Linked DNA regions of Saccharomyces cerevisiae S288C. Changing the gene in region 3 together with the main gene of any one other region gives a genetic interaction. Each region holds a gene or a part of one and is shown on either strand. Other genes may lie near its edges.

Region 1 (4,170 bases), on a different chromosome or scaffold from region 3:
TATCATTTATGCTGTACTCCAGTTTCTTCACACTATTAGTCCATTCATCGTCTAGCGTATACAGTGTCCGGAAATAAAATTTACATCTATCAGTTAAGCTTAATTCGTTGAAATGCTTATAATAGCCCTTCTTATTGATTAGCCAACTAGAACTCCTTTTAGTATCTATAGACTGGTCATAAAATGGAACTAATTCTAGTGGCGATACTGGAATTGTATCCACTGGGTCGACCTCAGGAGAGCCGAAGGCTTCAATAAGAACCTTAGGATCTGCATCTTTCAATGTTTTCTTGTTTGTACTGTTTACATTGCTTGATCGTATAAGCGCATCATTTCGGTGGGTAACTAGTTGGAATAGCACGAGAATAATGATCAAGGCTCCGACTAGAATCGGTATGGTACACGATCTCAAAGACCTTTGGTTTAATATAAATCTCCGGAGTGCCAACATTTAATACACAGTAACACTTTCTTAAACTAGCGTTAAATACCGCAAGATTACGTTTTTCGAGAGTACGAAGCAAGACCAGGACATTTAGCATTACGAATATTATTTATTTCACTTATGAGTCCTTTTTATAATACCTCCTTAATATAATCTTGCCTAATACATTGCAACGTTTTCGCAAAAGAAGAAACTCAAGGCTTAAAGAAGAAAAGGTAGACTTTGCGGTGGCGCCGGAGCCTCATTCTGAGATACCTTAAAAGGTTGAATATCAACTCAAAATGTCAGTAGCTCATCGTTCTGCGAGAGCGTGTCTAAAGATAAGCCGATAGTTTGTATCCTATTTAGGTTAAAAGCACGTGGCACGAGAAACGCGCACGCACTTTCCACCATTTTTCTGCATGGTGGCGGTCCGGCCAATTGAGACCTCGCAATGATTAAGTCTTCCGAGCGCCAGGGTTCGAAAAGTGGGATGCCTTGGTTGTTTTCTTTTTTTTTTCGCGATTGTTTTACAACTTAATAGGTGTTGCCCAACTATTCGTAAAAGGATCAGTGAGTCAGTAGTGAGCAATATATGCAGAAAGAGTACTTTTTTTTTTTTCTGACGCAGAAGAGAGAGTTCCTATCTCAGGGAGAGAAACTTCAATGTATTAGGTTTTCTTCGGATCCGTGGGCACTTCTTGCCGCGTTTGCATATGCAGAAAGAAATGAAGAAAAAAGAAAATGAATTAAAACGCGAAATAAAGCGATGCCGCTATAATGGAAAAAAAGGAGTCGCGACATATGTATATGCATTCATCGTTCTCATATATTGCACGTTCCGACCACGATTATAGAGTCATCTACCATACACCATTATTATACTTTCTCTTCCTATCTGTCCAACATTTCTAGATAAGCCTTACTACGCTATCAAATGGTTAGTCTTGCTGTCTTCTAAATTTAGATCTCTTTCGTTGTTCGTCCATAAGGGTTCTTTCTTGATGCAGGATATGCATTTACGTTATTTTTTGTACGTCGTACTCTGGCTTATCGATGAATACAGACATTGAATAGCTAGTGATATTTTATCGGAAACGTGTACCGTGAAATGGTAAAAGTTTTGTTTGACTTTGAGCCAAAGTAGTTACCATGGTTGTTTTTTTCTTAATCTTGAAGGTAATCAGGATAAAGAGAATTACAACCATGTTCGTAGCTAAAAATCTCCTTATAGCTAACAACTGCTATTTATGTGCGGCTTTGTCAGCAGGAATTATACCGCATTTCCTTGATTTACTGTCTTAAGCTCACCTTCAACATTGTTTAGCAGTAACATTGTACTTTATTTTTAAGGAATAGTTTAGTTGAAACGCCAACAGTGGCTTGCACTAAACAAGACTTTATACTACGTTTAGTTTTTCTTTTCCTTTTCTTGAAACCTTTTTTTCTTTTCGGAAATCTAATACTGCTACAATTTTTATATATTTTTCAAATTTTTTATTTAATAAATATTGAAATAGAAAATGAAATTAAATTTATATTTTTTAAAAAGCACGTGATTAATTTGATGTTTCATAGAAATTTTAGTTTAATATTGAATCAGTCATTTACAGATTCATAGTTCTTAAATAAAACATATCTCGGACTTATGTAGCATGTAGGAGAGATGTATTTTTGCTTGGCCCTTTGTTTACCAATTAATCACATCTGCATTGAATGGGCTTGATGGTAGGCAAGCGTTCCCCTGTTAATGAAGAAACCCATTCAACAAGGAAGAAAAGTGGACTAATTTGATATTTCAATGTGTTAGTTAAAGCAAAAAGAATTCAAGAGTAAATATTTGAATTTACTTCATTTGTTAAGGTTAACAATTTAAGGTGTTGATTCTTTAAAATTATGTTCTCGCCATTCAATGACAGAAACATTACGAAGTGCTAGGAGGTATATTATTAATATGATAGTTTTTAGTTTATAATATTTGTCAACTCTAGTTGTTTACGCATTGAAAAGAAGTACGGTGTAATCAATATCATGAATATTTGAGAATAAAAAAACAGTTTTTGTTGCTGTCGGCCTATGGTGCTAGGGCTGACTGTTTGCTGATTTTTTCCTTCCGTTCCCTAATTCACAAAAAATCGATCATTATTTTTGATTTAGGCAATGGCAAAAATCCACGATATAATAAAAACCTGTGATTTCAAGCCTTGCAAACAGTAGACAAGCGCCATCTGTTTTCATTATGATGACTTTTATCATAGAGGATCTTGCCATTTATCGCTATCTATATATATTATATAAATACACTATACGATAATCACAAGCGCATGATTTTTGATAGTGATGTATGCTGCTTGACTACACGATGTATTCCGGGAATTTGGAAATGAGTTTATGCCTCCAGTTTATTTATTCATGTTTCGTAGTTCGGTAGTTCGGGTAAGTAATTTTGTCATTGAACGTTAAGAAGATTTTGGTGAAGTTTCAAATTCTGCAAAAACAATTACATACTAGTGGTTAAACAAAAGAAACAAGTAAAAGTTCACTGTCACTTCTTTATAGCTGGCAATTATGAGGTTTTCTATGTTAATCGGGTTTAATTTATTAACTGCCTTGAGCAGCTTCTGTGCTGCCATATCAGCTAATAATAGCGACAATGTCGAACATGAACAGGAAGTTGCGGAGGCGGTAGCGCCACCTTCTATTAATATAGAGGTGAAATATGATGTCGTTGGGAAGGAATCAGAAAATCATGATTCTTTCCTTGAGTTTTACGCGGAGGATACCGCTACCTTAGCCTATAATGTTACTAATTGGGAAGATACTAATATCACAATTTTTGGTGTCAACGGAACAATTGTTACATATCCACATGGTTATCCTGTGGCGGACATTACAGGTGCGAGTATTGGGCCTTACGAAATGGAGGTCAACGGAACTTCAAAATTCGGGCAAGACGTTACGTTAAATTTACCGGAAGGACAATACTTTTTAATCCCATTTTTATTAGCTTCTAGGTTCGATGAAATCGTGAGAATTGCGGCACCACCAACCCTATTCGAAATTGTTAGCCCACCTATTTCCTTTTTCAACCCACAATTTTTATCAGTTCAGGTCATCTTTCTAGCCATCATCGGAGGTGTAAGTTATTACTACATGAAGTCTAAAACAAATCAAAGACCTTCCAAGAAGAGTGCCACTGTCAAAAAAGTTGATGAATCATGGTTGCCAGAAACCTATAAAAAATAAAAATGGCGGAGTAAGATCTCTGGATGATGATAGGGGGCTCTCATTGTTTTATAGATACATATTAGTATACTACAATTAAAGATATCCCAATATCTACTTTCGATATTTTCAGGGCGGGTTATTGAATAATGCATTACCCTAAGCTACGCCTGAAAAATATCAAACACGCTTCTTGAAAAGAGAAACCTTTAAAGAGGTGTATAGTCAACTGAATTGGTTATAAAGTTGAATACTTTAACACAATTGACGGTGCAAATTTTGAATTATCCTTTTTTGATTATTTAGGATGCGGACCGATTGGAATTTTTTCTTTTGTATCCTTCTGCAGGCCATTTTCGTTGTGGGCACACAAACTTCAAGAACGCTTGTTCTTTACGACCAATCTACGGAACCTTTAGAGGAGTACTCAGTCTATTTAAAAGATCTAGAACAAAGGAATTACAAACTTGAATATTTAGATATTAACAGTACTTCCACTACTGTGGATTTGTATGACAAAG
Region 2 (6,336 bases), 380 kb from region 3:
AGGAAGGCGTTCTACAAAAATAGTGCTAATGTAATGCAATCATGTTTTGTCTCCTTCGTTTTGTTCTGCCATAATATTTCGCTCATATTATTTTTGCTTATTTTTTCCCCTCCGTATTAATACTTTAAATAACAATCTAATGGAGGTACTGGACTCTATGTACTATTATATTTACCCTTAAAATATCGTGTTGATTACTATTTGTATAACCGTTTGTTTTTCTAACTATATATGAAAGAAAAGTAGTTATAGTTATAGTAGTTGAAGATTTAAAAGCTATTTGCCCTCTTTGGGATTAAAGTAAGAGCTAAACATAAATTATGTAACAGTTTAATTTTCCGAACATTAATTGTTGTTAAAGGCTTTAATATCAAGTATACTGAATATGCTAGAAGTTCCACTCAAGCATATAAGAATATCTGCCTAAATTATTATTTATCACTACAACTTGGCTACAAATTATGAACAATGAGGCCGACAAGAAGTTACTCTCTTAAAAAATGGGATATGATATATACAAACATATGATACAAAAATTTCAACAAATAAGTGGTTGTTTGGCCGAGCGGTCTAAGGCGCCTGATTCAAGAAAAAATCTTGACCGCAGTGAACTGTGGGAATACTCAGGTATCGTAAGATGCAAGAGTTCGAATCTCTTAGCAACCAATATTTTTTAGTTTACATTTTTTTCGGGGATAGTCATAGAGGATCCACCTTCATCTCAGCTGTCCACATTAAGGCCAAAGCTAATAAAGTGGCACATACTGGGCGGTTAAACAAAGTTATTAAGTAATTATTGCAAAACTCCGTGGACAACTTGTTTAGAATGAAGGTCATTCTCCTTAAGCCGGTTCAGTTGCCAATGCTACTCTTAATACTATTAAAATTTATTATGGCCGCTAAGGAAGGCAAAATACATGTCTTAGAATTCAATGCGAGCAGTGAATACACGCTTGATAAGAGAAGAGTTATCTCCATAAATGGCTACAGCGCTACATTTGGCCCAGAAATTCGAGTTAAATCCGGTGACACTCTTAACTTGAAATTGACTAACTGGATATGTTCAGAAGAAGAAGCTAGTAAAGACAGTGATGTTTGGAAGGATTACTGTTCAACAGCTTTACATTTTCATGGGGTGGTACCTTTAGCAAATGAATTTGATGGAATTCCAGGTTTAACACAGCCCACTATTGGATATGGAGAAAGTTATTGGTATAATTTTACCATTGATCAATCAACCTGTGGTACTTTTTGGTACCATTCGCATTCATCAGTACAATACGGTGACGGTATGAGAGGTGTTCTGATAGTTGAATGCGATGATTATGATAATCATGTGGCAAATACTATTAATTCTGTGAGAGACATAGAGACACTAGATGACGGTGTTGTTACAATGAAAAAAGATAAACACACGAAGGAATTGACGGATTATGAAGTTCAAGAAAGGATTATCACTTTGAGTGATTGGTATACCAATTGGAATTTGGACATTTTAAACGACAAGGTTTTGTCATCTACCGGGGGTACAGATCCCAAATTTGATGGATCATTAATAAATGGAAAATCATCTGACGGTGAAACTATCAAAATAGGATTTAACACCGAGTATCTTCTTTTGAGAATCGTAAACTCAGGAATGTCTGGTACTCAAGTCTTTCACCTTGATGGATTCCAATTAATTGTTCTAGAAGCCGACGGGATTATGATTAAACCGTTCATTGTACAAACGATAAATTTAGCGGTCGGACAAAGATATACAATTTTGGTCAAACTAAAGTCTGACACTAGTTTTATTCGTATGATTAATGGCTGTAACAAAATGATGGGTTATATAACAAAACAGTGGTGGTTTTACAAAGAAGGCGCTCATTTGGACCTACCAAAGAACCCCAATGACGTTTCCATCGAACACTTGCCTGGTTTCACTAAGGCCGAGCTTTATCGCGACATAGAACCAACGCAAGAAGAGAATAAAAAGTTACGCACAAAGGCTGATCCTGTTGCAGTTTTCGAATTCGATTATGCTTATTACAAAGATGAAAGCACGAAACAAAAGTATGGGACTGGGATGTATAAGGTGAACGAACGGACATTCAGCGAGTACGTAAAAGACCCGGTAAGGTTCGGATTCAACGAAACATATGATATTGTAATCAACTCACTGGACCACATGAGACACCCATGGCATATGCATGGCCATCACTTCCAGATAATATCTCTTGGCAATAAAGGTGATGGCCCATTTCACAAAGACGTACAAGAGGGCAAGGCATGGAGCCGCTATCAGAACGATTTACGTCACCTGGCCCGAACCGGAAAGGCACCGATGGTAAGGGATAGCATTAACATTGCAGGAAATTCTTACGCGGTTTTGAGAATTAACACCGAGATGCCCGGAAAATGGCTTTTACATTGTCATGTGGAGTGGCACATGATGAAGGGGCTTGGCATTGTCTTTGAGGTTCCGACAACAACCGAGGACAGTACCAAACAAGCAACTACAGCTGTATTATCGTACCCTACCAAGGAACCTGACCCTAACACTGTTGTCCATACAGCCGCACTTGAACAAAATAAGTCCAAGGTAATAGCCGTCTACATCCTAATCATGTGTGCGGTTGATGCTATCTTCTACTGGTTGCTCATGTAATCACATCCATTTCTCCCAACTCATTGCTTTTTTTCGCTTTTCCCACAGCCGTTTACAAGGCCGCAAAAAAGAAAACCCGCAAAGCTGACGGAAAAAGTATCGGCTAGCTTTCCATTGGCGACAATCGCCTCCGAGTGCGAAAACCTGTATTTCTCTGACTGCCGTAGGTCATATAGGATTGGGTCATAACGGTTTTTTGGAGACGAATCCTTCCCCTAATCGTGTTGGATAACATTACGGATCCGTGTTTTAGCTAAAGGAACAAAACAAAAATAAATAAAGGATAAGAAGAAGGATTCACTGATAATTAAGAGCTGTATTTTTCATTGGTTCGGCAGTTAGAAACAGAGATAGCATCAGTTCGAGTGTTCTTTGATATAGTAAACAGCGTATATAGAAAAGAATAAAGTGTATTGAAAGGCTCAAGAGAATTATAGAGAAAAAAACGAAGGATAAATCAAAAAAAGCGGTGTCTGATACAGTGCTCAATAGAAATACAGTTGCAAAATGGACCTCCCAACTGTTAATAGCACAACAAGCATTTCCGACAATGTGGATTTAAAGAACTACTATGAGGACTTGCTTTTCAAGAATAACAGCGGAAAATCGCTATCCGATTTACCCCGTAAACTGAATGATAACTCCAATAATTCAGGAAGTGATACGGTTGATCCGCTTGCTGGCCTGAATAATTTGAGAAACTCAATAAAAAGTGCGGGAAATGGTATGGAAAACAGGAGGACTTTTGACGATATTGATTTTATGGGTAGGTTTCCGTATTTGCCACCAGTGCCAAATCAACAACAGCAACCGTTTTCTCACCAGAACGGGTTCATTCAAGAACACCCTTCCAGTAATTTGACCTCTTTTCAAATGTCTTCGTCTAATTCAGAGCCGATGTCCGCACCGCCCATTTCATCCAATAACAATAATTTAAACTCTACTCAAATGGGTAATTATCAAGCTCAACAACGGTCGTTCCCGCAATTTAATGGAAATTCATTTCATTCAAATGGAAACGACCTAATGGGGAATCGGATGGATTCAGACTACATGCGTTTAATGAATAAAACAAACATAGGTTTTACTTCCAATAGCGGCAGCAATTTTGCTGCCCCATCACACAGTGCTGGCAACCCATCTAGTATGAACAACCAACAAGTACCATCATTTAATTGGCAACAGCCATCTCATCCAGAGTCTACCATTAGGAGATCCTCCTACATATCAGATACTCTAATCAACCATCAAATGCCTGACGCTCGGCAAAAGCAAACATCCCAAGTGCAGCAGCAACACGCTCAAGGTTTCAATCTTTTCAATAGCAGATTCAACTATGACAACTTGAACTCAACCCATTTGACCGCCAAAGGTGTGCCCGAGTTTGGAAATGGTGTACAACCTCCGTATCCTTATGATAACGAGCCTAATAATGCCAGTATCAGCAATAGTAATAACAACAACAACAGTCACAATATGGTTCCAATGCAACAGTTTCGCCGGAATACACAACCGGTAGCGAGCTTCAATCCATCCCTTCCTACTTTTCAACAACAACAGCAACAACCACAACAACCACAACAACCAAGAAACGTTAATGTACCTACTTCTTTCAATGGCGAACGTGTTGATGATGTTCAGCTTGTTCAACTTCAAAGAAGCAGTTCTGTCCCTTCTTCTACAAACTCACATAACCTTCAGAACGAGAACAGCAATGAAGGAAATGTATCTTTGGACAATGGTTTAGTTTTAATTCAGGGTAAACACTTGACTTCGTCCAAAACCTTACACGATTTATACAGCGACTGTGGCAGCGGCTATTTTGCTAGCTCTGCAGTTTTTGAATTCACAGATAATATTAAGAAAATGCTGAAGTTGCACGATTCTAATGAAAGTTACGACGCGAAGAACATGGGCTTAATCGATGAAGAAGGTAATACATACCAATCTTTATTAAATTTCTTGGACATTTTAAGAAGTTGCAACATGAATTACGTTAATGATCCAGAGTCGAATAATGGAATTGTTTCCAATAATGGAGGCAATAAAAATAGGAGGAAGGGCTCTTTCACAACAGAACTATCATGCAGGAATGCTAATAACTCCTTTTTACCTTATACACCATTGGTACTGGTTGCTTTGAAAAATGGGAAACTTGAACTACTATCTACTCCACAAGCTACCAATTTGTTGTTAAAGAGAGGTGACTTGGTTATTATTGATGGTGACCGTGGAAGGGATTTAGTATTGGTTGTTGAGCCCTCTGTCGATTTGAATTTAGCATTATTTATAAATTTTCTGAAAAAGAAAATTCACTTTGACTCTTTAATTACAAGTGAGTCACAGCACTATCGCAATGATGAGTTTATTCAAATGTTGATTGACTCAAAAAATGGGCAAAAGAAAAAATTAAATCCCAAATTGTATGATGTTGTTGAATTAACTGAGTTAATCATACCATCTAAACAAGTCTTACGTTTTGCCACCCCGTGGGAGGTAACAACGAATTTGCACAATAAATTTGAAGATGAATTAAAAGCCTTGCATATTGCTCAGAGTAAATTACAAGCGTTAAATGATAATTCAAAATCTCAAAATACAAATGACAGTTCTTCCAATAATTTTACGAATGCTGCAACTTATTCAAAGCCTAAATTGAATATCAAGATTTTAAACGCAGAATTCCAATTTGATAGAAAGAAATTAACGTTTTACTACGTTTGTGAGGAGAGAAATGATTTTAGAGACTTGATAAAAGAGCTGTTCAAATATTACAAGACAAGAATTTGGTTGTGTGCCATCCCGAATAATCTGTCTATTGATTCTAAGTATTATGATAAACAACAAAAAGAGCTGAAATTATATCAAAACATAGTAAAAAATTACAATGCTGAAGATTTAATGAATGTCAATGAGTTTTCGCAGAACAGGGGGAATAACAGAGTTAATTTTGCACCTCCGTTGAACGAAATTGAACTCGACAACTTTCAGATTGCTGTGTATGAAGAATTAGTTCACGAATTATTTCATTAAATGATCTGTTATTTCCTTGTTGTAACTATAAATTTTCTAAAAGAAAAGACAACCATTTGCCATTATTTTGTTAACATTTTTTCATTGTTTTTGTTTTTGTTTGTTTTTGTTTTTGTTTTTATTTTTGTCTACTTTTTTTATGTTATTTTGTTTTATCGTTTCTGTTCGTTGTTTACCTATTTTCCTGCCAATTCAATTTGGTACTATCTTTCTATTATCAATATTTTCTTTCCCTTATGTTTTTTTCTATATGAAAACTTCACAGGGAGAAATAGAAGAAAATGTTCATTATTCTGTTTAACTTTGATAAAAATTACTTATACGTCTCCCAATCATGGTTTCATGGTCACTGGTAAGGAAAAATTCGAAAAACTACGGGACTAAAAATTTTTTAAAGATTGTCCATATTCCTCGATCCACACTTTCAAGTTTGAGATTTATTGTTGGCAACTTTCTTACATTTTTGTTGTTTCAACTTCTATTTTATATTCTAACAGCCGCTTCCATTTATTTTTCATAGGCTTTATATAAAAAACAAAAAATAATGGAATCAACCAACCCTTATAAACTTATATGTAGTTTACATTTAATCAAGGTCTGTTATCGTGGCTATTGCTCTAATTCATTATTTGTCGACATGTATTGGTTGA
Region 3 (5,913 bases):
AAAAAACATATGAGAGTGCATACATAGAAAACTTGTTCAGTTACAAGAAACTTGCTGAAATATATTGGCTTATTCATGCTTTTAGGTTTCTTTGTTTTGCTTAAGATCATTCTGAGCCCAAGATAGATCAATGGAGCTTCCTTTTTTTCTTCGCTTCTTACAATTGAGCAGAAAAGAAGATTCGACCATATCTTGAGAAACGTATAAACCAGGAAAATTACACATTCTAATTGGTGTCAATGGCAAAATATATGCAAGTTTGCATGTAAAATATTTTTTTTAGGCCGGATAAAATAATTCTTCCTAATAGTGTCTAAAAGAAAACACTGACTCTTATAAAACAAACAATGAACATTTTAATAATTAAGATATAAACTGCCATCTTGATCTTCCAAAGAGACTACCAAATCAGCGACTTCATCGCTTTTCATGTTCCACCCCAGCTTGGGAGAAACACAAATATTCTTTAGGCAGGGCAGCCTGGATTCCAGTATGGCTATAGTCAAGTCATCGGGATGAATCTTAGAAGCTAATCCCAAGGATCCGCTGCATTCTAAGTACAATGTTTTAAGAGGCCTATCATATTCCACCAATTTACTTAGCATGAATTCAGAAAAGCACCACTTAGAACAGTAATCAACCATGAGCTGCAAAGAAATTAAATTAGCACAGTACGTGAAGACATGGTCTAGGGAATTTTCTGCCAGAGATGGCATCGGATAATGAAAAAATAAATGCTTTAAATTATCACCGATCTGTGATAACAACGAATAAATAGACAATTCCGTTATTTGAGGACAATAAGAGAATTCTAAAGTTGTAATAGTTGTTGGCCATTTCGTATCAATCACAAATTCATTTGTTATACCTCCACTCAATTTCAAGTACCTGAGATTCTGTGGCCATTGAATATCTTGGAACCCTTGGCAGTCAATCGACGATCTGGGAAAAGATAAATGCGTTAATTTAGTGAAATTTTTAATGGCAGAAAATAACTCCTTCAGCTTAACTGTTTCCGATACTAAACCCAAGTCTAAAAATTTCAAATCATGACACGATTTCAATGAAATCAAAGGCGCGTAACCAAAGCTTGTCTGTGGTGCGATGAATTTAGTTAGGTTAGAACAGCATCGTCGTAAAAGCTTGGAGACAAATGAATTTCTACCACTTTGTAAAATTGTAGACAAGTTCAACTCAAAAACATAGTGTCCTAAATTCTTCTTTTTATTTATGATTATTGTATCAACAAACCCGTTGAAATTCTTACTTGTTAACGCTGGTGCATAATAAAGCTTTGGTAGACACATGGCGTACCAGTTTCTGCAAACTAGTAAGTAGTTCATATTTATACCAGTCGTAGTTTTTTTTCCATTAGCAGTTTTATTTAATTTTTCTTCTTTCTCTGGTATATCAAGATAATGAATTATTCTATGCTGTATCTCCCATGGCAAAACCATCTTTACTGATACTGAATGCATCCTCGCTTCCTCACTCTCTATGACTTTGCCATTTTTTTCTCCTTTGGAGGACGATGTCGATGATGACGATGGCGACTGCTTACGTCCTTTTTTATCCTTTTTTTCATTACTCAGTCGTGTCAATTTCACTATAGTATCATTGGTTTCATCATAGTAATAAGACCCCTGTGGAGTCTCAATGAGTTCTGCATCCTCCGGTATAGTGATAGTGAATTCTTTAGCCTTATTATCATTTCTTGTAGAGGAGAAACCCTCTCCCGCCACGTACTTCCTGTAAGGAGCCTTGATTTTCTTGGGTCGTGATTTGTTTGCCATTACTGAGTACTGTGGTTGATATGATTATGTGTTAGAGCTGTTGCACATGTTTGTCGATGTACAAATCTTGACGATGCCGTCATATTACTCTCAATACTAGACACATCTTGTATTGACAACCCTTACCCCTCATGAAGAGGTAACCCGGCCGCAGGGCTTTAACAATAAAATAGAGACTATCATTCAACAATTACACAGTAGAAAAAAGTCAGAAGATTACTAATCTCGATCTTAAGTCTATTAGTCAATTAAATGTGGCCTAGGATTCAACTAAAAATATAGTAGTAGTGAAAAAACAAATGTTCCAACCGAGGATCGAACTCGGGACCTTTGCCGTGTGAAGGCAACGTGATAGCCGCTACACTATTGGAACAATATTACGGATGACAGCTTAGGATTCATAAAGAACTAATAAAGGTGTGGCAATAAAAATGGTGCAGCAAGTCTCAACTTTACTGCTTCTTATAGTTACTTCCTGTCGTTTTCATCACACTAACCCTTTGTTTCATTGTGCTCCCCTTCCCTTCCTTTCAATATTGCTTCCTACATCGGTCACTCTTACTTTGGTAATGAAGTAATGAAGAAAGGAAAAATAGAAAATCGAATACTAAAAATGTTATTATTTAAGGAGAATAAGAACGTAGACACTTAAGGGCGATAGTGTTTGAACAGAAAAAAATTAACTTACAAAACATGAAGGACTTGAGATTACAGGGGCCCTACAGAAAGTACATTCCCTATAATATTTTCCAACAATGTGGAATTGGTCACTTAAAGACGCTTGATTATATTTTCGCGTTTTTGATTGTTATTACCAATTTCACATTAATATGGAAATCGCACTCTTCTTCATTCTGGAACCGACCATGGGACAATAATAGTGAACAAGAACTTTCCCAATTAATTCAGTTTTACCTAGACAAGGCTTTTTACATCCATGAATTGCCACCATTTACAATACAGTTCTACTCCATTATTCGAAGATTAAAGATCGCAGAAAATTTAAGATACGTTTCTTTGTTTTTGAATTCATCGACTTTAGGTTTTCTTTTCCTGATAACAAGGAGAATCAATTGCTCTCGTTTAATTTCAGCAACAGGTTTGCTGATATTATCCAACTGGGAAACTTTCAGAAATGAGGGCACTATTATATCATTTGACAGTTTAGAATGGTGTCTGTTCTCAGTAGTAATTTACAGTTTTATAAGCATTTCAATTGCAAAACTGGGAACTACGAATTGGTTTGCTAATGTGATTACATTATCTATTTCTTTAGGGCTGGCAATCTCTTCTAAATTTATTGGAATTGTCACTTGGGCCTTCGTAATTCTTTCTTTTGTACGTCAATTTGATAGACTGATAAGCGACGTTAAAGTTACGACCATCCAAATAATAAAATTTGTCATTCTCTGTCTATTATTCGTTTTGATTATCCCTGGTTCCATCTTCATAATAAGTTATTCGAACTTACTTTCGAATTTTAAGACAGACACGCCACAATTTTCAAAATATATGAGCACATATTTCAAGTCCTATTTAAGAGGCCCTCAAGTACAACCGAGTCGATTGTACTATGGATCAACGATCACATTACGTCATTTAGATTCTATGGTCGGATATCTTGCTTCTCACGATATTTCGTATCCATCAGATGTTGACGAACAGTTAGTAGCGTTATCATTTGAAGAATTCGCGGCAGACAATGAATGGTTAATAGAACATCCTACATTAAATTTGAGTTTTTCTGAGGTATACCATGCTGATCAATTGATACCTGTAGAATTTGGTCAAAGTATAAAACTAAGACACAAATCTACTGGAAAATTATTGAGAGCCAGCACTGCTAAACCTCCCATCAGCGAGCAGGACTATGACTTTCAAATTTCATGCACGAAAGATTCAAACTACGAAGGAGGAATGGATGAGAGATGGGATGTTCTCCTGATTAAAGATGAAATCAACAATGATAAAAAGGATAACGCAGATGATAAATACATTAAACCGCTTCAATCAGAGATACGCTTTTACAATAACGGCCAGAGATGTGGGCTATTGGGCCATGATCTTCGGTTACCTGAATGGGGCCGCTTTGAGCAAGAAGTCCTATGTATGGAGTACCCAGTAATACCAAGAACCACTTTTCTAATAGACTCAGTACAACTACCAGTCGATTTCCAAGTCCCAATGATAGAATATTATATCGGCAAAATAAGTTCTTCAGCAGAATTCAATCATACCTTATCTTGGTCACAATTTCTTTATCTTTTCAAAGAATATATTTTCAAACAATACAAGTACAATTACTATATTAAATACGGTAAAAATAAGGTCACTTTTGAAGATGCGTTCGCCGTGGAAAAATGGCCAATTACGTTAGACACAGACTCTCCAGTTTGGTTTAATTTTGCATGGTATGGATCCTTACTCTCGATGATCATTTTCATGTGCGTGCAATGTAAGAGAATGATATCTTGGAATCCGTGGACAACTGCTGAACCTTCCTTTTCTATCAAATGGGAGGTCTACAATGAATTTGGCTGGGAGTGCATTGTCGGTTGGTTTTTACATTTTTACATCTTCACAATGAGTCCACACTTCAACTTGGGGAAAAAACTGTACTTCCAAAGTTTTTTCTTTAGTGTATTGTGTCTTTTAGAATCGTTAGATTGCCTTGCAAAGTAACTCGTAGAAAGATTTTCTCCATTATGATTTTTCTCCCATTGCTTCAATAATTCTCCGGTACAAATAGAGTAGCACAATTATTTATAAGAATAACATACATACGCTTAACTCTGCCATATAACTATAGTACATTTTCTGTCCTCTGTTCGCAAATTTCTTTGTAAAACTTAAGTTTATGTGCTCTTTTTTGAGTTTGCAATGCCATCTACAAAATCTTCAATTAAAGAATCAACGTGCCTTAAAAGTTTCTCCTTCTTTTTGATGGCCTCAATTTTTTCGTCTTCCACTTCAACTAGCTTTTTCTGCAACATATCAATCTTCCTTAATTGCTCTTCAGCTGAAACGTCAACACCAGGTAACGAGTCAATAAGCTTGTTTATCTGTCTTGTTTTAAGTATAATGTCCGTGGATAGCTCATCTATCGTGTTAGAAAATTCCTCAGGAGGTACTACTGTGGCATGCTTATCGGACATCTGAGGTTCATTTACGGTCAATCGTTCAAAACCATGGTTCTTATCTATGTAGTTTAAAGTAGCACAGAATTGCTCCGTCATTTGGTCTAAACATATCTGCAATTGTGTTAATCTATCTGTCATTGTTAAAGAGCATATAATGTATTGAACTAGTGAAATGTTATGTCCCTCTTTTAACCAATGGTTTACCGTTTGAATTATAATTATCTTTCAGAATTGATTTTTTTTCTAACTTTCTTGCAATGCGAACAAAGCTTGTAATTAAGCACGTACGGTTGGCCTTTAAAGGATTACAGAGAAAGACAAGGCTTCTACAGAAACAGCCACATGTTCTACAAAAGCGCACTTCACGCATATAAGCATATAAATGTTAGTTATATGAACAATCTTAAGTAATATATAATAAATCAGAAAAGTTTAACTGTAAAAGAAATTGTGTTTTAAAAGAAGATATAATAAACGAATGTATGGGATAACGCCAAGTTAAATGAATGTCCTTGTTTTGTAACTAAAGCAGAAGAAATAATATTGTTAGCTCTAGTTATTTTAATAGTGAAAAAATAGCCGAAATAAAGAACAAAGAAAAAAGAATGAGGAAACGAATGAATGAGATTAACGAGTAAAAAACGAATGAATGATACTTCAGATGGTCCTTGAATATGTTTTATAAGCTGATTCTTTGAATTTTTTTTTTTTTTTTTTTTCATTTTCTGTCCTTAGCTTAAGTTTGCAGGGGCTCGAGCTGGTTGAAAGAATAAAGAACATCATCGAAAGATTTTCTATGGTTTACAGGGGAGTCAGAGTAGGAAAATTTAGATTGTGGAGAAGGCGTAGCTATAGAGTTTCTTCTCTTGGGAAGAGGGCTTTGGCGTGAAGGAAAGAAGGCTTTTGCTGAGTCCTTATTTGAGTTTGGGGTCTCTAAAAGGCTACGATAAGCGCTTGACCTCTGAGAACGAGGCAAGAAG

What was found.
Region 1: mutations in PMT7 (region 3) and IRC22 together harm fitness less than expected from each alone (positive genetic interaction), as found in Saccharomyces cerevisiae (one large-scale study listed by BioGRID).
Region 2: mutations in PMT7 (region 3) and PSP1 together harm fitness more than expected from each alone (negative genetic interaction), as found in Saccharomyces cerevisiae (one large-scale study listed by BioGRID).

What each region holds. Positions count from the first base shown.
Region 1 is NC_001137.3:149,801-153,970, reverse strand, and holds IRC22 (Irc22p), read left to right. Parts: upstream 1-2,992; coding exon 2,993-3,670; downstream 3,671-4,170. Other genes in the region: alpha-1,3-mannosyltransferase MNN1, read right to left, coding at 1-451; WBP1 (dolichyl-diphosphooligosaccharide-protein glycotransferase), read left to right, coding at 3,957-4,170. UniProt on the Saccharomyces cerevisiae protein: Is probably involved in a pathway contributing to genomic integrity.
Region 2 is NC_001136.10:1,456,045-1,462,380, reverse strand, and holds PSP1 (Psp1p), read left to right. Parts: upstream 1-3,160; coding exon 3,161-5,686; downstream 5,687-6,336. Other genes in the region: protein kinase GIN4, read left to right, coding at 1-23; GMC1 (putative oxidoreductase), read left to right, coding at 827-2,653; SPG3 (Spg3p), read left to right, coding at 5,687-6,070. UniProt on the Saccharomyces cerevisiae protein: DNA polymerase alpha mutation suppressor.
Region 3 is NC_001136.10:1,073,379-1,079,291, forward strand, and holds PMT7 (putative dolichyl-phosphate-mannose--protein mannosyltransferase), read left to right. Parts: upstream 1-2,486; coding exon 2,487-4,475; downstream 4,476-5,913. Other genes in the region: HNT2 (bis(5'-adenosyl)-triphosphatase), read right to left, coding at 24-110; PFU1 (Pfu1p), read right to left, coding at 357-1,793; SRB7 (Srb7p), read right to left, coding at 4,649-5,071; GIC2 (Gic2p), read right to left, coding at 5,670-5,913. UniProt on the Saccharomyces cerevisiae protein: Probable protein O-mannosyltransferase involved in O-glycosylation which is essential for cell wall rigidity. Transfers mannose from Dol-P-mannose to Ser or Thr residues on proteins.